Drosophila melanogaster: one gene and its partners. The protein of the gene in region 3 interacts with the protein of the main gene of each other region in a pairwise test. Each region holds a gene or a part of one and is shown on either strand. Other genes may lie near its edges.

Evidence for each region.
Region 1: the proteins of MESK2 (region 3) and CG12963 interact in a two-hybrid assay, tested with the Drosophila melanogaster proteins (one large-scale study listed by BioGRID).
Region 2: the proteins of MESK2 (region 3) and nito interact in a two-hybrid assay, tested with the Drosophila melanogaster proteins (one large-scale study listed by BioGRID).
Region 4: the proteins of MESK2 (region 3) and gnu interact in a two-hybrid assay, tested with the Drosophila melanogaster proteins (one large-scale study listed by BioGRID).

What each region holds. Positions count from the first base shown.
Region 1 is NT_033778.4:15,555,769-15,562,963, reverse strand, and holds CG12963 (uncharacterized protein), read right to left. Parts: upstream 5,290-7,195; 5' UTR 5,253-5,289; intron 5,179-5,252; 5' UTR 5,099-5,178; coding exon 5,030-5,098; intron 4,957-5,029; coding exon 4,794-4,956; intron 4,695-4,793; exon of another isoform or gene 4,636-4,694; coding exon of another isoform or gene 4,558-4,635; intron 4,491-4,557; coding exon of another isoform or gene 4,376-4,490; intron 3,728-4,375; exon of another isoform or gene 3,444-3,727; coding exon of another isoform or gene 3,242-3,443; intron 3,105-3,241; exon of another isoform or gene 3,044-3,104; coding exon of another isoform or gene 2,966-3,043; intron 2,867-2,965; coding exon of another isoform or gene 2,761-2,866; intron 2,533-2,760; exon of another isoform or gene 2,508-2,532; coding exon of another isoform or gene 2,442-2,507; intron 2,372-2,441; coding exon of another isoform or gene 2,308-2,371; exon of another isoform or gene 2,068-2,307; coding exon of another isoform or gene 1,851-2,067; intron 1,789-1,850; exon of another isoform or gene 1,759-1,788; coding exon of another isoform or gene 1,684-1,758; intron 1,602-1,683; coding exon of another isoform or gene 1,547-1,601; intron 1,150-1,546; coding exon 740-1,149; 3' UTR 528-739; downstream 1-527.
Region 2 is NT_033778.4:7,960,568-7,968,487, reverse strand, and holds the start of nito (spenito), read right to left. Parts: upstream 6,026-7,920; 5' UTR 5,885-6,025; intron 5,720-5,884; 5' UTR 5,646-5,719; coding exon 5,095-5,645; intron 5,037-5,094; coding exon 3,206-5,036; 3' UTR 3,162-3,205; exon of another isoform or gene 1,748-3,161; intron 1,711-1,747; exon of another isoform or gene 1,650-1,710; coding exon of another isoform or gene 1,484-1,649; intron 1,430-1,483; coding exon of another isoform or gene 1,230-1,429; intron 1,170-1,229; coding exon of another isoform or gene 1,089-1,169; intron 863-1,088; coding exon of another isoform or gene 794-862; exon of another isoform or gene 771-793; intron 603-770; coding exon of another isoform or gene 480-602; exon of another isoform or gene 464-479; intron 360-463; exon of another isoform or gene 1-359. Other genes in the region: CG14763 (uncharacterized protein), read left to right, coding at 480-602, 1,089-1,169, 1,230-1,429, 1,484-1,649; Septin5 (septin 5), read left to right, coding at 6,839-7,920. UniProt on the Drosophila melanogaster protein: RNA-binding protein that acts as an associated component of the WMM complex, a complex that mediates N6-methyladenosine (m6A) methylation of mRNAs. M6a modification plays a role in the efficiency of mRNA splicing and is required for sex determination.
Region 3 is NT_033778.4:21,500,395-21,505,099, reverse strand, and holds the start of MESK2 (misexpression suppressor of KSR 2), read right to left. Parts: upstream 3,004-4,705; 5' UTR 2,621-3,003; intron 1-2,620. Other genes in the region: TAF1C-like (TATA box-binding protein-associated factor RNA polymerase I subunit C-like), read left to right, coding at 3,555-4,705.
Region 4 is NT_037436.4:14,801,854-14,805,227, forward strand, and holds gnu (giant nuclei), read right to left. Parts: upstream 1,508-3,374; 5' UTR 1,407-1,507; coding exon 1,379-1,406; intron 1,321-1,378; coding exon 626-1,320; 3' UTR 527-625; downstream 1-526. Other genes in the region: NHP2, read right to left, coding at 1-237.

The DNA of each region.
Region 1 (7,195 bases), 5.9 Mb from region 3:
ATATTATTGTGTTGCGAACTTACGTACAACTATTTATTATAATCTTACAAGTGTATTTATTCTCTGTAAATAGCTTTAGATCCCACGAATACCGTTTATCTATGTGATAGTCTACAACGTTTTGCTGAACTCCACCTATAATTTATTTCCTCGGTATTCACACTGCGCTTAGCTGTATAATTGTTGACTTCTCAATACAAGATGAAAAAACATATACACATATTGATAACTAATTACAATAAATAAAACTTGTCTACCGTAAGCTTTAAAATCTGCTGAATCTAAGGTTAATAGCCATACGGTGGCAGCGGTTAATCGTATGTAAATTAGAAACCATTACTTTTTCATTTTTAAATAATGTCGATTACACGATTTCTGAGTTTATGCTTTATGGAACTTATTTATTTTTGATAAGAACTGATTTTTCATGATTCATAGAACTAATTTATTTTGTATTTTACCATTAAGAACCGATTTTTATATTGTACTTAATCATGAACTTTCCCAAAGTTAAAAGTCATTATTTTCAATTAAATAATTCACTTTAATTTTCATCCTATGTCCTAAAAATATATATTTACAATATGCGACTCCTAATGTCTAGAACTTAAATAGGTATGTACTCAATAAGATCACACAAGTTCATTTCTGTACTGAAAGCGCACACAAAGTGGCATCTGTGTGGCCCAGAGTGGCACGGCGAATGCTTCAGTTCCAATTTATCCATGCCTCCGACGGATCACACCGCTGTCGTTGGCAATGGAGCAGGAGGACCAGATCCGGAGCTGGGTGGAATCTGTGCCGCGCGGGAGGTGGATGGCTCCATCGGTTCCATTGCGATGACAGTGGCTTCTGCGGCGGACGAGGAATGTGGATCTGTCTCCGAATACGGTGGCGCCGGCAGTGCCGCGATTCCAATGGGACTGGGTACACCGAGGGGCGATTGGGGAACAGGCATTCCAGCCGCTGCTGCTGTGGGAGTGGTCAGGTTACACATGCGCATCACCTCGTCGTAGCTGGGTAAATCCTTTTCATCCTTTTCCAGTTGATCGCGAATGCGGTTGGCCTCCACGCTGCCGGGTTCGATGAAGAAAATGTCGCCATAGCGGTTCGATGAAGGATCCTCCTGTGCGTTGAATACATTACGATCTGAAAATAGGTTAAGAAAAATAAGTGAGTAGTGAATAGTGAATAGTGAAGTCTTTAAACATATAAAACTCATAGGACGAATGATAAGAATTTAATTAAAGATTACTTGATTACATCATATTGATATTTGGGTAATGTCATTTAAAGGAGAGTTGTTTTATACACTTCGAAATATTTGTATATGTGCAGTTTGATTAACCCACACAACAACCTTGTTATTCGTTAATTAATTAAAATTGGAAACACTGCTCTAAACACGACCTGATAAGCACATTTTAAATGGGCTTCTAAAAACGAGTTGATTAGTCATATTAGCACTCCAAATTTCACACACACAATAAACACTTTTGAGGATAATATTTCTACCAGTGTGACCCAAATGGGCTATGTTCCATACCAGCTTGTATCTGGCGACGATTTCGAATCCTTGAGTCGTGCATTCGCTTGGCCAGCTAACAAATAGATAAATCAGTTATGGGCTTCTTTACTTCAAAGCCATTAAGATAAACTCAGCTTGCAGGATTAACTACATACGTATATAAGCTGGGCCACCGCGAACATGCAAAACACAAAGCCCAGCGCGACGCTCAGATTAGCTGTCAGACCCATTCCGCAATTCTCGAAGACTGGCCAAAAAGTAATCGCCCGAACCTAACCGATTAGATTGGCTTCCTGCCCACTTTCGGATTGGCACACGTTACCAATTTCAATGCCGTATCGCTGACGATGGTGCTCTGGAATCCTCTGCTGACGTCGACATCGCGGCTGGCAGATCTTTGCCAGAGTTTGGCTCTCTACGCGGATGTAGTAGCAGGCCAGCGGTAGTACGCAGAAAAAGAAGAACACCAGGGCCAAATAGATGGCTATGTGCAGGCCGAAGCCGCTGCCCCAATCCAATGTCGGCTCCGATCCGTGCATGATGAGACTTAGAACGACGCGGAGCAGGAATCAATGCCGAACTACAGCCACCAACTGCGTTTTGTAGACACTAGTATTACCCATAGTTCGCCGTTCAGCACGCAATTGATTAGTCGCCCAAGATTAGATTGTCCGCCATGTTTGGTTGGCATTACCCCATAAATGTTACTCCATATATCAGATATACCATATATACGGTCCGGCGGTTTGCACACACAAACCAAAGCCAGTGTAACTTACGAGAATCTATTCGATGGTTTCGATGTCTATAACACCAGCATTTCAAGATCCAAACAACAGCGAACTTTGGGGGAATAAGAACAGAACTTGGTTACCAATCACCATCGAAGGGATTTGCTGAATCTAAGGATCACCTGTAGGGCTGCATAGGCCACGATGCCGATCAGCAGGCGTAAAAAGAAAGTGGCTATGAGTTCCATTTTGCAACGAGCTCTCCAAAAGACTGACCCCCCAAAGTTACTGATTTGCAATATTAGCAAGACGTTCGAAATCAGCTTATCACGAAAGTCCACAAAACAAACACTCTAGGCTTTATGGATTTATGGTAGCACTTGATCATCAAACCCACCCACACACAGTCACTGTTTGTATCAGTTAGTCAATACATATATAAAACCGTCAATACATCAATACATCAAGCCATCAGAGGCAGTTCAAGCCATCAATACATACCAGTACGCTGGCGTTGACGTTGTCGTCGACGTCTACGTCTTACCGGATCTTGAAATCCCCGAGGATTGGTTCCACAGCACTTGTTCAGAATAATCCATAGTATAAACTTTTGGGGGAATATCAAAGAAGTGATGAGTGAAGGACTAAGGAAGGAAACTTATATCCCTCGCTTAAAGTTAGGTTCAAAAATGTGGTGGACAGATACCTGAAGAGCGAAATAGACCATGGGCATGATCAGGAAGAAGATAAAGAACAGCCCCACATAGAAAATAAAAAAATCCATTGTGTCAATACCCGCCAGAAAAAAACACACAATCGAATCACTTGAATGGCGAGTTAAAACTGAGAACTCTGCAAAACGAATTTCTAGCTAATCTTATCTGGGCCAAGAAACCCATCTGATTGGCCAAGTATCTATATATATACCGTCCGATAGCCACCGAAAATAAGTCAAATTTGGCTTGTTTTGAATGAAGCGTACCATGTCGGCGTCTGCGACTCCTGGAATCCCTGGCCTCGAAGCACACCCAAATGCAGAATCTCAGGCAGCAGAAGGTGACCGCACAGGAAATGAAGGCCAGGAAGAAGAACACCAAATACGGCGGTATATTCGACATTTTGTGATCCGAAAATTCGGTATATCCACGTGGATACGCGAGCACCGGCGATGTTATTCGCTCCATGAAAAGGCCTTAGGCCAACTGTCATAATATGGCGCGTCGCTAGCTTTTGGCCAAGACTTATCGGCGACTGGGAAGAGCGCGGATCGCGGGAGCGGCGGACAGGTGTGTCAAGGGCCATGTGATAAGCGCTCGACGCACAGAGTCCGATAAGATACGCCTCGCCACTATCGCTGTCTCAGTCGGGCGGCGTTCTATTACCTGTGTGCCAGCTGTAAAAGTATCTGTATCTGACAGATATGCGCATAATTACGCTTTGGATAATGTCATCCGGGCACGTGACAGGCGAAAGTCGCGAAACTAATTAAGGAAGCAAATGTCACATAAATCAAATGTTCTAGATTATACTTCTACAAGCACTTGAAAATTATATAGATCGTTTGGAAAACTTTTTTTTATAAACAATTGTAAATTTCTTGCAGTGCAAGAACTATTCTGATTATCAGATTTTCTGTTATTTAATAGATTGGGGTAGATAAGATTTAATTTAAATTTTTATCTGTACATGGTATACTTAAAGAAAAACAAGTGTCTAATAAAAAAAACATGTTATATGATATTTTAGAAAACCGATTAGTTTGCGAATGGAAAATTGGTATTGAAATATATTCATAATTTTCTCTCTTTAAATTCATTCAATGCCATGTTCAAAAAATCAGTTGACACTTTGAAATCTTCCTAATTAAGTAATTTCTTATACTCATTGAATAATAACCAAATGCTTCTTTCTCATGTCTTACAACCCATTATTGTAAATGAACATTATAAGGCATTGACTTTAGCCAAGCGTAAAGCAGCGAATATAGCTGAATGTGTAATTAATTCATAGCGATTCATTTGTAGACAGACAAAGGAACATAATTTAAAGGGCGGAAGAACATTTTCGCCATCAAAATGAATGCCACAAATCACTGCGGGCCACCTGAGCTGCTCACCTGGCGTCCAACTGAGACGACTACTCAATCCCGGCGACGAGGGACACGAGGAAACGAATCTGCTCAAGGGCGGGCTAACTGGCAATCTCCTTCGACGCTTCTGGGCTACACATCTCTGCAATTATCTGGCGGATTCACTTCCATTTGCATTGATAGCCACTAGTTTTGGGCCAAGAACTCACACTGATGGAAAAGTATAAAATCAGCAGGAAGAGGAGCAGCAGGACACCGAACTCGCACCAACGGAACTGGTCGCCCATTTTGCGGAATATCTATATGGCCGAACTGCGACCGTACATCTGAATAAATTAACGCTACTGTCGAACATTGGGAATCTAACCGAACAACCGAACCCATCGATAAGGGAGGCACCATAGATAACTTTATCGAAAAACGCTTGTGACTCATGGCTGCTCACCTGTGCTGAGGGTTACTCCTGACTGATCGATTCTATAGCTGTGCAGAACCCTTCCGGGCTGTCGATTTGTTGGATTCTCCCCAGGACCAGGACCTCGTCCTGGACCACGACCACTTGAGCTGGTTCGACTAGGAGTCTTTTGTGTGGCGCACAGACAACAAGCCTACAGGGTCAATAGGGGATCGTTGTCATCAGACAGGGGTTGAAATTTTGCGATAAATCACTTGAGAACTTACTCGAATCAGTATGCATACAATTGAGATTATGAGGAACCAGCCAATCATCATAAAAGCGTAATAGGGCATTATGAAATTGAGAACTTAAGACCGGAAGTCCAGAACAGACAACAGCACCGATTTACCACCGTTCGCCGCGCACAAGAAACCTTGCTGAAATGGCAAAGGCAATGCCACTCATTGCTAACAGCCTAATCACCAAACAAAACCAAATCGCACATACAACCCTTATCAATCGGCATACAATTTTGCGATTAAAACTAGGCATACACGCGCACAGCCAACGCAATCGGTGGTCTCAATCGGGCTGAATCGGGACTTACGCACCTGGGGATTGGCCCCCTGCCGAAAAGCTTTCGGTATCGTAGTCCCCGGAGTTGATGTTCCTTCTGCTCTTGTAGCACAACTATTGGGGGTAAAGACGGTGATTAAAGTTATAAAACACACCAATCAAAATCAGGAATATAACTCTATTACAGTATGGTTTGCTCTTGAACTGTACGAAAGTCATGATTATAAGCATATTTAAGGTATATCAATCCTCAAAAGTAATAACGGAAAAACCAGAGATATGAGTGTAGTAGTTATTACAACATTTGTGATACAGCTTACTAACTTACGCACCTTGAGATAAATTACTCCCGACATGGGAATTCCCTGATTTCATGTTATTCCTCACGTTGTAGCACAACTATAAAAGCAAAAACAACCGAAATGCCTTTGAAAATCAGGAATATACCCCACAGAAAAGTGGCAAAGGACTCTCAGAATTTACAGGATTATATAAATATTTAGAAATATGTTCAAAATATGTGAAGCTAGTGTGTGCTCTTCAGCTGTTAGAGGAACATTAAGATATATTCCTGATTTTGAAAGTGCAGACTTACAACAAACACCAGGAAAAATAATAGTGAAATGTAGAATATGTCGATCGCTTCCATTTCTCGAGATGGATTAAATAAGACTGTTGGGTATTTTTCGAGAAACGACGTAGAATGCGATTCAAGTTGTTGGCCCATATCTTGGAGAACCCCCATCGAATAACAGGCATTATCTTATCGGCAAAGCTTTTGCAGCTTTTTTTCGCCAAGTTATATAGCCAGAAAAGCCTGGATCTTACCTTCCATGGCCAGGCGCAACATCATCTCATGGCGCAAAAGTCGGGCATAAACCCGCATATTCCACTCGTCGATCTTCAACTTGATGAACAGATAGCACTCCTTGGGATTGGGGTGATTTGACTAATGATATCTAATCAACGTTGAGATTTCAACCTACCCGAGCGAGTAGCAATACGAGAATGAGCACTATAAATGCAAAGAAGCAGACCCCTACATACATTGGACCCAACTGGACCCTAGCTGGTGATTTTGATAAAAAAAAAAAAACAATAGATTCTCTCAAACTAATTTGGAAGACTTGACTAATAGAAGCGGAGTTACTTGGATAAACTCACCAGATTCGTGCCGATATTGCAGGCAGCAGACGCACTTCCACTTGTGATTGGGACAGATATAGGCCTTAATAAATGTTGAATTAGGCAAAATTCTACAGGAGGATAAACCAGCCACACTCACCCTTATCAAAATAAGGAATATCAGAATGAAGGATATAAAGTAATACACCTCGACGAGATCCATTTTGAACCGAGTCTGGGAAATGTGTGGCAGCAAATGAGTCGAGGACCACGGGAATACGAAATTAAGACCCGGGAAAATTGTGATAAAGCTATTTCGATAAACAAAGATAAAGTCAGCGTTGCATCAACCTGACAGCTTGGGTAATTCTGCTGGGCTATCAGATAAGCAAATCAGAGCTAATTATAGCCAAAGGCAATAAACCTGGCATGTGCGACCAGTTACGAGTTAGTTATCAACTGTATCTCTAAGCCTATTTGTGTACTATACAGCTCCCTCTCACCATTTCGTGTGTCGTTGGTCCGCTCCGATCTAGGCCTGTAATCACTGCTCTGGCCAGCTCTCTTGGCCTTGTGGTAGGCATTCGAAAGGAACTGTTTTGGGATAAAGAAACGGATATCATGTAGTGCCCACTTCCGGCTCGAGCGTTAGCTACTCACGACTATAATGAGAATGATGACCAGAAGCACCACGGAAAACGAACTGAACTCTGCACCCATGACTTTGGCAGTCCTCGCGGAACAAGTGC
Region 2 (7,920 bases), about 14 Mb from region 3:
TCCTGGACTCAAACAAGTGGAAGCAACAGGACAAAGACAAGGAAATGTGGCCAAGAATTCGCACTGTTATTGTTTTACTTTTTATAGATAATTTATTAGGTGTGTATTTAACCGAATCCGAGCGTATCGAGTATATTTATATTTAAATATGTGTATATAGATGTAATTGATGTTTTGTGGCCACAAGAGCACCACCACCCAGTAATAACGTAAATATCGTAACATGGATGTGTATTATTGTCTACTGACTGTGTGTATATGTTTCATATGTATACTTTAAACGCAAGACCGACCCGAAATGTGAAGCATATTCCCACACATATAGCAAACCAAATAAAGTGTAAACTAATTGTTGTTGTAAGCTGATCTTTCAATTTCTTAACAATCTTAGCAGGCTGTCGTTTTCTTTCGTCTTCTTGGCTAGTATATTTCTGCTCCAGTTCAGTTCTAAAAAGCATTTCAAGTTAAACATTGTGATCATGGGCGACTCACCGGAAGAGCGGCGCAGCAAGGATGTCGTGCCAGAGACCGCCGCCAAGGAGGCGGAAACTGGCAAGGGCAAAAAGGAGAAGAAAGAAAAGTCGGCCGAGGGCACTAAGCCGGTAAGTTGGGCTGACAAGTGGCGCATAATTTGGCTGGTTTTATTGATTCAACAAAGCCAAACGCCACGAATTGCCACGGCGACAGGCCGTCAGGTAATCTGGCAGGGAATGACTTAATGGCATAATCATTTGTGGTTTTATGGCTAACCTCTACGCACTCGAGCCGACTCGATTCTATTAATTCGCAAGGAATGGCAGCCGCTGCAGCGAAGAACTGGTCGGGGCTGGTGAATCTTTATCTGGGCCAGGAGCGTGAGAAGGTATACGATTGATTTTGCCATTATGGTTACAATGGGGTATTGATGTCTTTTTAATGAATTGATGCTTGTAACGGGATGTGAACACGGGAACCATACGGTTCGTCTAAAATTTGACGAAGTCACGCCATTTCTTGTGGGGATTCTATTGGGGGTTTGGGTATCTCTGTGCTTCTAGCTGTGGCCTAACTAACATGCATATTCGGTTTCCCATTTCATCGACATGCAGAGGCCGGCAAGCAGCCAGCGCGGATCGCTGACCAAGTCCCATATGGGCGTTTCCTTGCCGATGGGTGCTCCGGCAGCCAAGGTAAGTCCGTTAAATGCCCAGCTAGCTGTGTTTATACCCTGAGATCTGCTTAATGCCTAGCCCACCATGCGGTTCATGCCCACCTACCGCCTGGAGTCCAAGAATCCGCTCAACAAGGAACGCGTGGAGAACATCATAAAGGCGGTGATGAACCGACACTACAACGATGAGTACATGTTCCATCCCAAGCATTCCCTCCACATGGCCGCGCAAGTGAGCGAGGAAATCAAGAACCGCATCAAACTCGACAACTACGACAGGTGACTTTGGTTCGGCGGTCAGTTTTTGTCTAACTAACCACCGTTTCGCCCCAGATATCGCTACATAGTGCTGGTCACTGTGGGCGAGTTCCTGATGCAGGGCCTCTACTCCATGGTCAACTTCCTGTGGGATGCTGAAAAAGACGGATTTGTGACCTACAGCGTGGAGAGACCCTCGTACTTTGCAGTCTGCACCACCTTTTACCTGTACTACGATTAAGAACGCGATTCCAGGGCCCTGGCGCGTTCCACTTGGTAATAAAATTGATGTTGATGCTAGCAATGGTGCTTAATTTCGTTACCTTCTTTGGTCAGCAGATGGTTCACTTTCTTAAACACTTGCTTGCACTGTAACTCACAACTCACATTTTTAACACGTAGGATGCGATAGTTGTCGTTTATTTGGATATCAGTACAATAGTTTGATATAATATTTTGTTGAAGCATAAATTACTTTCGAACATCCGTCTAATGATGCAAGACAACTGCGTTTGATCGTTATTACTACCTTTGAGTGTACATATTACGATTGATATATATATATATATATAAATAATAGATTTGCGAACACACGCATACACAGCACATGCACTGGGTGAACTGCTCGGATTGGATTATCATTGTGTATAAACTGATCTCGGTCCGTGGAATGACACTTGAACTCACTGAAACAAATGTAGCATGAACGCTTGCATAAATTATAAACAAAACACTATTCTTATTCTTATTCTTCTGTTGAGCGCAGCCACAAGAAAACCAATGTAACAATTGCCAAACCAAATCAAACAGCATAGACATTTTGGAGCAAATGCTACACGACGTTCTCTCTTCGGATGGAAGACGGATATTGATCGGGGATCGGAACACGATATGGAATCGCCAGCCACTTTCACGCACCCAGCGGCCAGAAACACCAAAGAACCTCTTGGAGATCGAGGGGAACTGAAACTCAGCTGGAGTTAAGCACTTCGCACTGATTGGGAAATTGCACTGCAAACAACTTCTGGAGCCACTTTGCAATCTTATTTTGGACCCAACTGGACAATCAGACCACTACTGGGCGCACTTTTGGTCGCACTGCCTTCTCGCCATCGAACACAAACGAAAGGGCAAAGGCAAAATCATCAGCGTAACACAAATCAAAATGGAAAATCAATTTTAAGGAACACAAAAACTTTTCATCGACATTATTTCGCACTAGTTGTTGATCATATGCGGACACTCGAATGGAGTTTTTTTTATGGAAAATATTTGATTTTTGTTTTTACTCGTGTTGTTTTCATACTGTTGTACACTTTAACATAATAAAATTGGATAATTTGTATGGGTAGCTTTAGATACAATCATGAACGATTTTTCAAACTTTTTAGCACAATAATGAAAAGGATGTATAAACTTCACTGTCACTAACACATCGAGAACTTGAACTAAAACCAAAAGAGAGATCCTGTCTGCAAAAGAAGGTTAATTAATGGTTAATTAATGCGGGGTTTTTGGGTCATGAGGTGTGGGTGAAGTCTCCTCGGTTCTGCTTCTGTCTCTGTATGTGTGCATCATGTGTGTGTATGTGCGTGTGTGCGGTGCTTGGAGGAGCCGCATACACGTCCCTTGCATGTATGTGGCCCCCGGGTGTCCTCCACTTGGGAGAGGACGAGCTAAGATACGACTACGGCTGCTATGCTATAATTAGATGTGGCGGAGATTTTCCTTGAGCACTGTGGCTAGTTATTACCTACAGTTTGTCCTCCCATCCCCACCGTCGCCAGCCGCTCCAGCTCAGGCCGTTCCGCCGCGCACCACCACAATCACCAGGTGATCCTCCTTCAGGCCCTCCTCCGTCAGACTGTGACAAGTGCGCTTTAGCAGCTCTGTGGAAAAGTCGCAGGGGGGGAAGGCGTACAGCACCCCAGTTGCCTCCGTCTCCTTGTTAAGCAGCGAGATCACGCCAGCCGCCTCCTTCTGCTTAAGATAGGAAACCAAGTTTCTTAGTGGTCGCGTCTGCACGCTGGCATCGTCGCAATTGGTGTCGTTTGTGGACCCTGCCAGACCCATGAAAATGGCGTGCGACGATGAGGATGCAATACGTTTTTGCACGTCGTCCAGCTTGGGCGGATCCAGACGCAGTCGCTGGGTGATACGTAGGTTGTGCTTGCCCTCCTCATCGCGCATCAGCGACTCCACAATATCCGTATCTCCGTCCGTCAAATGAAACTTGGCTGGGAACAGTGAGCTCTTGAGGATTAGCGCTCCGGTCCACACTGTGCTGCACTTGCGCGCCACATCTGGAACCGTACTGGCTGATGCAAGGGCGTCGTTCCGACGAGTCGAGGTGTCAGAATCAGATCCGGGAGAGCGAGCCCGCTTCAATGGGGATCTAGAACGAGAGCGTTCTACACCAGGTTCCCGAGAGCTGGAGCGGGCTCCTCTGTCGTACGATTCTCCTGGCGGGCGTCGCCACTCATCCTCCACTCCGCCGGGAGGGGGAACTGAAGAAGAGGAACCTGCTAAGGAGCCAGGATGCGGCGGCCTATGCACGTCGTTGTGATAATGGTACATGCCTCTTCCTCTTCCGCGATATCCCCCACGTCCACGGTAGCCACCCCTAGGTGGATACGGAGAATAGCCACCGCGCGGAGCGTAGGCGGCGGACTCTTCGTAATACGGATCGTATTCCGGACGTCTGTACTCCAACGCACTTTCATCATATGGCGGCTTTGAGCTCTTGAAAGGCGCTGCCGGTGTGGCGCCGGGCAACTCGGCAAAGTCCGTGCGGAGTCGACGCTCCGGTCCACCCAATGGGAATCCTCGCATCTCCTTTACCGCCGCCGTGGCTGCCTCCACTGTCTCGTACTGAATATAAGCGTACGGCTCGCCCTTCTGGTATTCAATCTTCTTGATCGCACCGAAGCGATCAAACTCTCGCTCCAGCTGAGTGACAGAAGTCCAGGCACCTAAGCCTCCGATCCACATACGAGTTGCCGGAGTCACTTTCCCGTATCCGATCTTGCACTGAAACTTGCCAATGTACTGTCCAGACAATTCGATCTTCGCTCGGTGAGCCATATCCAGGTTTTGGTAACGTACAAACGCGAACGCGTTCCCCGTACCCGGCGGCGGTCGCTTGATGTCGATGTCATCTACCACTCCGTATTTGCCAAAGATGCGACGCAGTTCGTCGTCGGCGATGGTAACCTCCAGATTTCCTGCAAACAGTGTGCGCGTAGAAAGAGGATCATCCTCGGGCTGCACATGGTGCAAGTAATTGGGGAACTTGTCCTTCTTGCTCTCAGGCTTTTCATAGGGAGCGTGTGGGCGTGGTGCCAATGGCCTCATTGGAGCATACTGATGGGGCGGCGCATGGCCATGGAGGTGATGCGGATGGCCGCCGCGATGCAAAGGTGGTCCGCGTGGCGGATGAGGATAGTCATGATGCAATGGGCGGTAATCACGTGGATGGACTGCGTGCGGATGCATATGGGGAGGACCGTACCGATCGTAGGGATCAATCGGAGGTCGACGGTGATCCAAAGGAACGCCTTGTCCCATAGGGGACCTCGAGTAGTGGTAACGTTCATAGTCCGGTGGGGACATTGAGTGACCGCGTGGTCTGCAAAGCATCTTAGATTAGCCAAGGCTAACAAAATAAATACAAAAATAAATCCCACCTATATTCCGGTCTGGTTGTGGACTTGTACACCGGCTCCACAATGGCCATCTTGTCGTAGATGATCAGGCGCGGCTTATGGTGCTTCGCCTCGCGTGCATCTTCAGGCGTTCGGAAGCAAACGTAAGCAACCCGTTCATCCAAGTCGTGCGCCAGTCGCACGCTAAAATCGCCAAACTTCTTGTACTCGCGGTACAGTGTCTCCTCGATAAAATCGTCCGGAGCCTTTGGCGGCAGGGCACTGACGCAAAGTACCTTGTAGCCAGCTGGTCGCTCTGCAGGCGGTGGACCACGCATGTAGGGCTCCCGGTGCGGGGAGCCATAACGACTCGGCGAGCGGTCCAATCGACGTCGCATGCGCTCCGGCGACAGGCGCTCCGGCGAATCGCCAGGCACGCCGCTGCCGTTGTCGTACCCACGACCCATGCTTCGCGAGTTGCGCGACAAACTGCTCCTGGAGGCCGGGCCCGGGGAGCGCGAGGCGCTACGCTTCATGTTGTGAATTTTGATTGTGATACGATCGGCTCCGGCTCCGTCTCGATGACTACTCATGGGCGGCTATTCCGGGGCGCTTTAACTCGGTGTGTGCTGCCTGAGAACTTTCTGGCAATTTAGTTCCGGGGATTCTGCGAAGAATTCGAGATTTGCTTTGTGAAAGTACGGGCGAAATGCAAGAAGACAAGCGGCGGTCAGGTAAAAAGAAAATGGCGGCGCCCCGCAAACAAAGAAAATCGCGTTAGGCGGAAAAATTCTAAAATCAGAGCAATTCAGATCGTTTTTAGAGTTCTTACCACTTCCGGCTTTTTTGGATGTTTATTTTTAAGTGCTAGTTTACTATTAAGTCGCGGATATTCCACAAATTCTTCAATTTCCTCCGGCTTTGCAAATTCTGTATGCGTCGAAAGTTAACTGCGGTATTCGATAACGATACGTGTTTGCTATCGCCATTGATGGTCCCGTTCATGGTATCGAGCCATATTTGTCCATTTTATAGCCAAACGTTTGATTCATTTTTATATAATGACATAGTTATAATCATATATAATTTCAATGTAGTTTTTAATAGGTTTCTATTTCTGTAATATATTTCGGCGAACTTAGATATAACAATAAAAGTTTTTAAGTTTTAAGATCATAAATCTTTAAAACACGCGAGATTAAGACAACGCGATATACGTTTTGTAAAGGATTTTTTTATGAGGTGGAGAACTTTAAGTTGGCATTACTGTTCAAAATCGCGACCGACTTAACATTTGCCGTGTTATTGCCGATATATGACCACAAATGTTGGAAAAAGTCATCGAATATAATACGTCCAGATGGGACTTCATTCGAGCCAGCCGTGGCGTCATAGTCCAGAAATCATATATAAAATGTACTGTCGCAAGACTATCTTTCTGATAAATAAAATTCATTTTGATCGAATAATCCATCGTTGTTTAACTGCAATTGATAAATGTTAGTTGAAGCTGCTTTAATCGATATAGTCGCGCAGAACTGTCTCGATAGACAACTGAGGCGGGCACCGCATTTAAAATCGTCAAGGCTGCAGGTAAAAGGAATCACAGGTAGAAAACTCTTAGATACAGTTTAATTCTCGGTACGCCACCAGATGCAGGAAAATCCAAATGGCTTATTAAGAAAAACGACTAGGGTTTACACAGGCTGCACATACGAGAATTCCGGGTATAAAGAGTGGCGCCTGCGCTGGGTCGTGACATTATTCTAACGAAAGCACTGGCGAAATGGTTCATTTAGTGACTGAAAAGAAGACGCAGGAGGTGGCAACCAAAGTCCCCAGGCTCCTTCAACTCGGCGGCCACGTGGGGTTCGACACCCTACCGGACCAGCTGGTCAACAAGAGCGTCCAGAATGGCTTTAGCTTCAATATCCTATGCATCGGCGAGACCGCTCTCGGGAAATCCACTCTCATGGACACACTGTTCAATACCAGTTTTGGATCTACACCGAGCCCGCACAACCTGCCCAATGTGAAGCTGAAGGCAAATACATACGAGCTGCAGGAGAGCAACGTCCGCCTGAAGCTGACCGTCTGTGACACGATCGGATACGGAGATCAGGTTAATAAAGCGGACAGCTACAAGGCTTTGGTGGAGTACGTGGACAGCCAGTTTGAAGCGTATTTGCAGGAAGAGCTCAAGATCCAGCGAGCGATGGCCAGTGCTCATGATGGACGCGTTCACGCCTGCCTGTACTTCATCTGTCCCACGGGCCATGGTCTGAAAGCTATGGATTTGGTGTGCATGAAGCAGCTTGACACTAGGGTGAACATCATTCCCGTGATCGCGAAGGCCGACACCATCTCCAAGTCGGAGCTGTCGGGGTTTAAGGAACGCATAATGGACGAACTACGGCGGAACAATGTGAGCATATACCAGTTTCCCATGGACGACGAAACCGTGTCCGAAACAAATGCTGCGATGAACGGCCATCTACCCTTTGCCGTTGTTGGCAGTACGGAGTTTGTAAAGGTGGCCGGAAAGCAGGTTCGTGCCCGCCAATATCCATGGGGAGCGGTGCACATAGAAAACGAGGCGCACTGCGACTTTGTGAAGCTGCGCGAGATGCTCATTCGCACTAACATGGAGGATCTGCGCGAACAGACTCACACACGCCACTATGAGCTCTTCCGCCAGCGGCGCCTACAACAAATGGGCTTTGTGGACGTGGACAGCAACAACCAGCCGGTCTCCTTCCAACAGACCTTCGAGTCGAAGCGATCCGACCATCTGGCTTGCCTACAGGCCAAGGAGGAGGAAGTGCGCCAAATGTTCGTTCAGCGGGTCAAGCAGAAGGAGAACGAGCT
Region 3 (4,705 bases):
TGTAGTAATGTATAATGTACTATAGGCTTATTGGTGGCAAGCGATTTATCAGCGGCATCTGGGCCACTTCAATTCCAATAATTGCAGCCCAGCGTGTGCCATTTATGGCGAATTATTCATAATTGCGATTGCACGTGAAGAGTGCAGAGGAGGAGCTTGAGGTGCAAGCAGCGTGGAGCCATTGAAATTAGCCATCGGCTAGAGTGGGACGGCGACAGGCGAACGACGTGCCCTGGCTTTTCCGTTTTTCCGGCCCGGAGCGAAAGGAGCGCACGGAATATCGACAATTTGGCAGGTCGCCCACGGCAACCGTTGGCAGGTCAACGGGCAACAACAAACCGAAGCTCAAGACAGCAATCTGAACTCAATCTACTGCTGAACTGTGTACTTGATTGGGATTCAATGCTACTTCGGATTTACCGACTCAGAAGACTAAATAATTACGATTTTTTTTCTTCTGAGAACAAAAGTGATTTACATAATCCTTGAGCTTTTGATTTGCTTTAAATGTATCTTTTTCTACTTAGACGTGAAAAGAGATAATTTTAAAGGAAGTCTGCTGTAGTTACATACATAATTCATTGTTAAATTATCATTTAATACGTTTAATGGCTCTTGTTTTTTGTAAGATCTTTCAGTGTTCGATTTCCTTGGAAGGTGGCTAACAACAAGTTCTCTGCTGCCCCTAAAAATACTTGCTCAACTATTGTATTGACTGCAATTTGTCCGAGTCCTTCAAGGATATCGCCTCCGATGTGGGAGGGGGTACAAATTTGCAAAACAGAAATTATTCAAATGTTCTTTGGGGGGCGGAGAGACAAGATACCCCATCGGTAGGGGGCGTGGCAGGGGTTCTGGGGCACCGACAACGGCAGCAAATCACATACAGGAAATGTCACGCTATGTCAAGCCGCAGGCCAGCAGGAAAAAAAATCGTACAGCCGAAACGAACCAAATCACACGCTCAACGTCAGAGCGTGTTGTTGCAGGATATGGGAGAATATCAGTTGGGTAGGTGGGAGGCTAGGGGCGTGGCACGGTGGGGCAATGAGGGGCGGCGCAGGTTGCCCTACTGTTACGTGTTTGCAATCGATTTGAAAGTTACATAAAAACAGAGCCGCAGCAGACCAAGGGCAGAAAAGGGAGAAGGTGCCAGGGAAGTTGGTAAACACCTGAGTGGCCAACAAGAGCGTCAACAACAACAACAACAAGAACAACAACAGGAGCAGCAACAAGGCGCCAAAAGCAATTTGTGCGGCGAACTTTTTATTGTGTTTGCCTTCTGAGTAAACTGACCTACGCATTAAACATGCAGGAAAGTTAAACATCAGATATAGATACGTATACATACATGTATGTACTGGACTCAGATACTCAGGAGGACGAGACGAAATCCTGTCCATGGCGATGGCGCCGACAGGTTACAGTAGAGCCGTTAAAGTGGAGTCCTCACCCATTCATTTCCACACCCAAAAACCGCTAGAAGCAATAAAATTTCACAAAACAGCGAATAACAAATGTCTGCAGGAACAGTAAACACTGCCAATAGGTAAACCAATTAGGGCAACTATTAGAGATAACAGTCAAGTCGCTTTTAATGAACAACCCCATTATTCCATTTCGCTTTTCCTTTGTTTAGTTAGGAAAATTGGTCGACTATTGTCTAGAAAATCAACTCGAAGTTGATTTGAGGTTTTTTTGCGAATTGCCTAGATCGTCAAATTTCTTATTTAACTTAATTGCAATTCAGAATATGGAAAAAAGGTGTAGGAATCAAGGAAACCTACTAATTTAGAATCCCAGGACAACATGCAACCGCACTTTTTTTTACTGGCATAACTTGGTTTTCAGCACACAGGCTTCACTGTGGCAGCTGCTGAAATGATTGCGGCGAAGTTTTCTGGAGGTCGTTTAGAGTGGAAAAGCGCCAGCTCCGAGAGAGGGAGAGCGATAAAGAGGAAGAGAGACGGAATGGAGCGAAGGGGAGGGCAGCAGGGGTCCATTACGTCAGAGCCAGAAGCCATTTGGGTTTTGTCAAAAATTAGCAGTTAGGAAAAGCGAGGAAAACCCAAACGAAACCAAAGCCAAACATACACAAAAAAAAAACGAATAACGAATAAAAACGAACATCATAAATGGATGAATTAGTACAGATATGGCGAGCAACAAGAACAACAACGACAAAAACGTGCATACAACAACTAACTGTTAACTAAGTAAAAAGAAGAGTGCGCAAAATATACAATAGTGCTAATTGAAAAACAGATACTGGGATGCAAATGAAAAGTTTTAGATGAGGCAGTGTGTTTTCTTTTCTTTTTAATGGGGGCGAGCGCAGAGAGAGAGAGACAGGATAAGACAGAGAGAGAGAGAGAGAGAGAGAGAGGGAAGAGTAATAGATAACTGCAACAAAACAAATGCAAGCGGAGCGAGAGGGAGGGGAGTAGGATTAGAACTGGTTAATGTTATCTTCCAGACCCGCCCCTCTCTTTCACACCTTTCCAATTGGCATTTGTTTTGTTGTCTGTTTGGCACTTGTATGTATGTTAATTGTGCCCGTTGTGTGCGGTAGTGTAGGTGTGAGTGCAGGTGTGTGCGTGGTTGGATTTAAAAAACTCACCTGACGCTTTCCGTTGCTTTTTCTTCTATTCTTTTGTAGGCCTCAAAATTGAGATAAAAACTACTACCGCTTTTTACCAACGCCTTCTTTTTGGCTAACAAAAAGAGACCGTTGTTTTAACTGCACTGTCTATGAAAAAATCAATATTCGGTCTCGACCAACTTTTTTCTTCACCTTTTCTTTTACAACTTGTGTAATTTCTGTGCTCGTTCTGTTTCATTCACTTATTCTCTCGCTCTCGCGCGCACGCACACACACACACACGCCCGCTGTTCGCGATTGCCAGTAATTTTCGGGGATCAATTTCTTGTAATTTCTCCAGCTGCTTTCAAGTCTTTAATTCTCGGTCTCGATGCAGCGCAAAGCAAATTTGATAGTGATGGGGAGAAACATCGATGCATCGGGAATCGATGTTTTCATATAGGTGCTATCGAGCTAGCCGATATTTTAGAAATAGTATCGCCGACCAGCGATACATCGTCGCTTATCAAAACATCGGATTCTTAAATATTTTTGACTTAAAAATGTAAATGTTACTTATTATTGGTGTCTAAAACCTTTACATTTCTTTAAAAAGGTATTTTACGATGCTTTTTTTTTCAATGTTACATTTTTGCACTTCCAATGTAATGTAATAGATAATCCAAAACCTATATTATTTTAATATATTGTGAATATTTTGCTTGTAATGCTCATAACAGCAAGCATGCGGTTGGGTAGACATAAATACCCATCACTAATCAGCTGTTTCTTGCGTCCAGAGGAAACGTCGTGCGTTTGGCGTTTGATTGAGTCAAATTCAATTTGTTAACTAAATTCTTTCGTGCAGAACTGGATAGCTGATCGAAGAAATCCGTAAGCCAGGCTCACATGCATCAAAACACATCGGCCAGCTAGCAAAATCCGATTTCTTATTTATACTCCAATTACAGACATGCCGCGACGCTATCAAACAGCTCTCAATTCGGCCAAATACAGTGCCCAGGTCAAGACCAAAACTAGTGACAACGAATCCGATTCCGAAGATGATCTTCCGCCGGATCAAGATGCTGAGGATAACAATGAGCCAGATAATCTGCGCAGCATTTTGGAAAATGCGCCGCACTTCTCTTATCCCGGCTTGAACACTGGAATGTTGGGCCAACTCTTGTACGATCATCAGGATAATCCGAAGCAGGACTTGCCAAATTGCTCGGTTACGGTGCCGCTACCCCTCTTCCTGGCAAAGGATGGACAAACTCCCCGAGTGGAGGCATGCGTCCAAAGGCCATTCCGCTACGACGATTGGACACGGCAATTGCAATTAGGCAAGGCTATATTTGATAGGCGACTTAAAAATATGAGACAGCGTGTACAGAAGCAGGAGCAAGGTGTACACGATGCCAGTCTGTTTGAGATGGCTGAGCACATAGCCCAACAGGAGAATTCCTTCTTCAGGGACAGCTACGATTACTACTACACAGGCGGAAACCTAAACACGATTCCGTTTGATGGAAACGATCAGCTGGCCATGCATGTCAGCGGTAATAAGCTCAGAGATTTGCACTTTTCCCGAGATTATGGTGAGGCGGAGTTTTGGCAACCATTGCATTCGGCTACGATAGAGGAATCCTCCAGCGAAGTCTTTGAACTTCTTCCGCTCCACAATTTAAATCGCAGTCAAATGTTCCTGGCACGGTTGCTGAAGGAGGTTTCCCTATACGAACTTAAATGCAAAGACGAACAGGATTCGGATTCAGATTACGAACTCATTCGCCATTGCATGTTTAGCAGTCAAGTAGCTCCTTTTACAAGCGCTGCACAATCATTGGCCAATGCCAATACATTGGCCTTAGCTAGCCAGGATAGGTCTTTGCGCTTCGTGGATATTTCGACACAACAGGATATAGCCAAGCTTGATGTTTGCTTGCTAAAAGGACTGAAGAAAACCTCGAGTACCTGGGCACAGTTAAAGCAAGCAGAGGAAAGCACCTTTCACTGCCTAACACAGCCAGTTTTGTTTACCGTAGATGTGCGATGCAATCTGCCTCTGAATCCCTGCTTTGCCAGCGGCGTTCACTCAAAAGCTTGCGAGAGGTTCTCTTG
Region 4 (3,374 bases), on a different chromosome or scaffold from region 3:
GCGCAGGCGAGTCTGTACATCCTTAAGTCCATTTCGCAGGAAAGTCTTGTGCTTCATGGCCTTCTTCACCAGTTTGTAGCACTTTTTGGCCAGTTTTTTACCTGCCATCGGTTTCGCGATGGCGTTCACAAAGATCAGCTTGTCGTCGTAGGACTCCTCCTCCTTGATGGTAACATCGCCGCTGGCCACAACGGACTCATCGGCATCCTCGGAGCGCTCTACTTTCACTTTGCCCATTGCTTTTTTGATAAAAACGTGGATATTTTGTTTAAACGGCTTTTTGTTCGAAACACGTGTTCAGTGTGACCGCGGATCGACTTTTGAAGCATACTAGCGTGCCGCAAAAATATACTAAAATAAATACCGTTCAGACATGGATTAATGCGACTTACTCTATGGTTTGTGACTTTACTAATGTTTTTAGCTAAGTTCATACACTGAGAAAAATTATTACTTAATGTTAAATGAATATTAAATTAAAAATAGAGTTCCAATCCCAAGCCCCAATCACCGCGCAAAAATACTTCAAGACCACATTAAACATTTATTAAAATCTCACATACAAATTCAAATCCACATGACATAAAACAGTTTAAAATTAGCAGAAATCCTACAGGATATAAAATCAGAAGAATTGCTTGGCCAGTTGGATAATATTCATGGCCAATCGGATCTCCCGGGCGCCGCGAACGCCCAGTGCCGCCAAGTCCTCCAGGGTCATTTGGATGAGCACCTCGATGTCGATCTCCTGGCGCGTGAACAGCTCTGTGAGATGCGCGTTTCCGGTGCGATCGAGCAGGGATTTGACCCGAGGACTCAAAGTGGGGTGCTCCACCGGGGAGCAGGGCTTATAGCGTGAATGATGGATACTGGGAGTGGGACTTCTTGGGTCCTCCACTTTAATCTTTCGCGCACTTTTCAACTTGGATTCCTCCTGCCTCAGCCGCGTTTCCTGCTGCAGTCGGATATCCGGCTTTGGTCTGTCTTCTCTCTTAGTTCTCAGTAGTTTCGAATCTCCAGATTCTCCCAGTAGCCTGGTCTCCCCATTTATAAGGGTACTTTGACTTGTGGGCGAAAATACGGAACGCGTGCGCATAAATTTCTGTGAAAATCGACGGGGCAAAGTGGATTCCGATAGTCGTTTTAACCCGGACAATGCCGGTCGACTGTTAGGAACCGTAAGATTATTGTTCTTCGGCATTCCAAAGAGTCCGTATCTCGCGGTACCCTTCCTGCCAACGCCTCCAGTGGGCGTGACATCTTCGAATGTAAAAGCTTCGGTGGAGAGGGGAGTGAGTGGGGTCAGTGGGGATGCGGGATCTATTGAAAGTTAAAGGATATATTTTAAACTTGTTTACAAAAGTATTAGCAATACTACCTCTATAGACGCGATTGTAGCGCTCCATTCGGTAATTTTACAAATAATATTTTCCACGAGCACAAAAAAGACGACAAAAAAAAACGTGCAATAAGATTTGCAAAATGCAACTAACTGTAATTAACTGCTTTTTTAATGCGACCGCATTAAGAGCGGTTAAAATTACCGAAAATTCTGTGATCAGGCAACTCATAAAATCCTAGTCATAGAACCATGATCAGTGCTGAAAAACGATCCTTAAAAATAGATCATATAATGAGTTTTTAAGATCTAAATTACAATATGTATATTTCTTTTCAAGAAAATAAATTTCAACAACAGTCACAACTATCACAAAGTGCTTAAAAATATGATATAAGAATTATGCCTAATAACTAATTGTAAACTACAATAGTAAAAATAATTCATAAAAAACTCGAGAGTTTAGAAACTATATAAAAATGTGTTTTGTTTCTGTTAAGGTTTTTGTGCCTGTTTATAATTGATTAAGAATAAACGTTAATCTGGCACATTAGAATATTCATATCCATGTTTTTTTGCTATTGTTAAATCTCTGACTTTACCCTCGTGATTTGGGTGAAATAAATAAATTAGAATAAAAGTTCAAGGAACTCGCCACGCATTAATATTTACCATTTCACATGTCTAAGTACCAAATATCGTTTTTATACCGTCTACATAATATTATTTTGCTTCTAATTAAAGCGAGTTTGTCCAGTTTTTCAGTCGTTACTTTTGCGGTGCGATTTGATTTGATTTGCTTCGGTTTTTGCGTCGAAGTTTTTGCGACAAATCTTTTTTTTGCGAATTGGCAGTCAACAGATGAACCGATAAAATGTAAACAATTGTTGCACAAAACGTGCAAATTAATTTAACGAAAATAATCAATTAAGTTAATTTAATGACGCCGAAAATTCACAATTCTTGCGTGCAATAATGACAATATTCATAAAGAGCACTTGGAGTAAAAATTGACAATTTTTTTTATGAAAATGCCTAACCATAAAACATAAAAAATTTTACATTTTGTTATAAAATTTGCACAGTAATTTATTACTTCAATAGTCGTTTGCTGTGCAAATTAATGTATTTATTGAAAAATACTTTTTCATGTCATCTGATAATCATTTAAACATATATTAATTGTTTCGCTATGCATGAAAAAGAAAATATTACAGCTAAATACTAATTTAAACAAATTAATAGTTAGGAAACTGTAATATTGTATTGGTTATGCTCTAAAATATAAATACATTTTATTTTTGTCAAATGCTTAGCGTGCACTTCTTACTATATAATATATTTTTTTTATGAAACCTTAAGTAAGGCTTACTTACTAAAGATTCGGAACCATTTTCAAAACCAGTGACTTCAGATAAATAGATATCTATATTTATCTATGTATGTAAAGATATATTATTTTGTGTACTGTGAAATCATGACATTGCCACCTGTTAAAGCCCCACAGATATTTTGGCGCTGCTGCTGCTGTTGTTTGGGTTTTAGGCGCTTACCTTGCTTTATTTGGTTTTTCGTGGGCAAGAACAACATGGAATTATTGTCTTTGCGCAGTCGGCAATGCCGAAGCTTTGCAAACCCCCCACCCCCCCTGGCGACCAATAAACTCCCCCCTTTCGGCTAAGTTGGCCACATGTGGGGCTTGTTGTTGCCGGCTTTTGGCTAAGAAACAGCTGAGCTCGGCCAGCTGCTTTGTGTTTATATTTTTTTCACGAGCATCGAAGCGCCTGCGCACTAGCCATACATATATATACTTATATGCATATACATATATAGAGCCCCCCGATCCCGAAAGCCGAAGCGGAAAGCCGAGCTTTTTGTCGACTCGAGAACGGACGTATAAAATAGCGATGGCTGGGCACAAAGCGATTCAGTCGTCTAACGGAGTTCAAACCAAGCTGAGCTGGAAAAGTTCTGTTGGCCATAGCGTGGAAACCCCAACGTAGTAGTCTGTCGTAAAAATTCAGAGAGCGAAAGA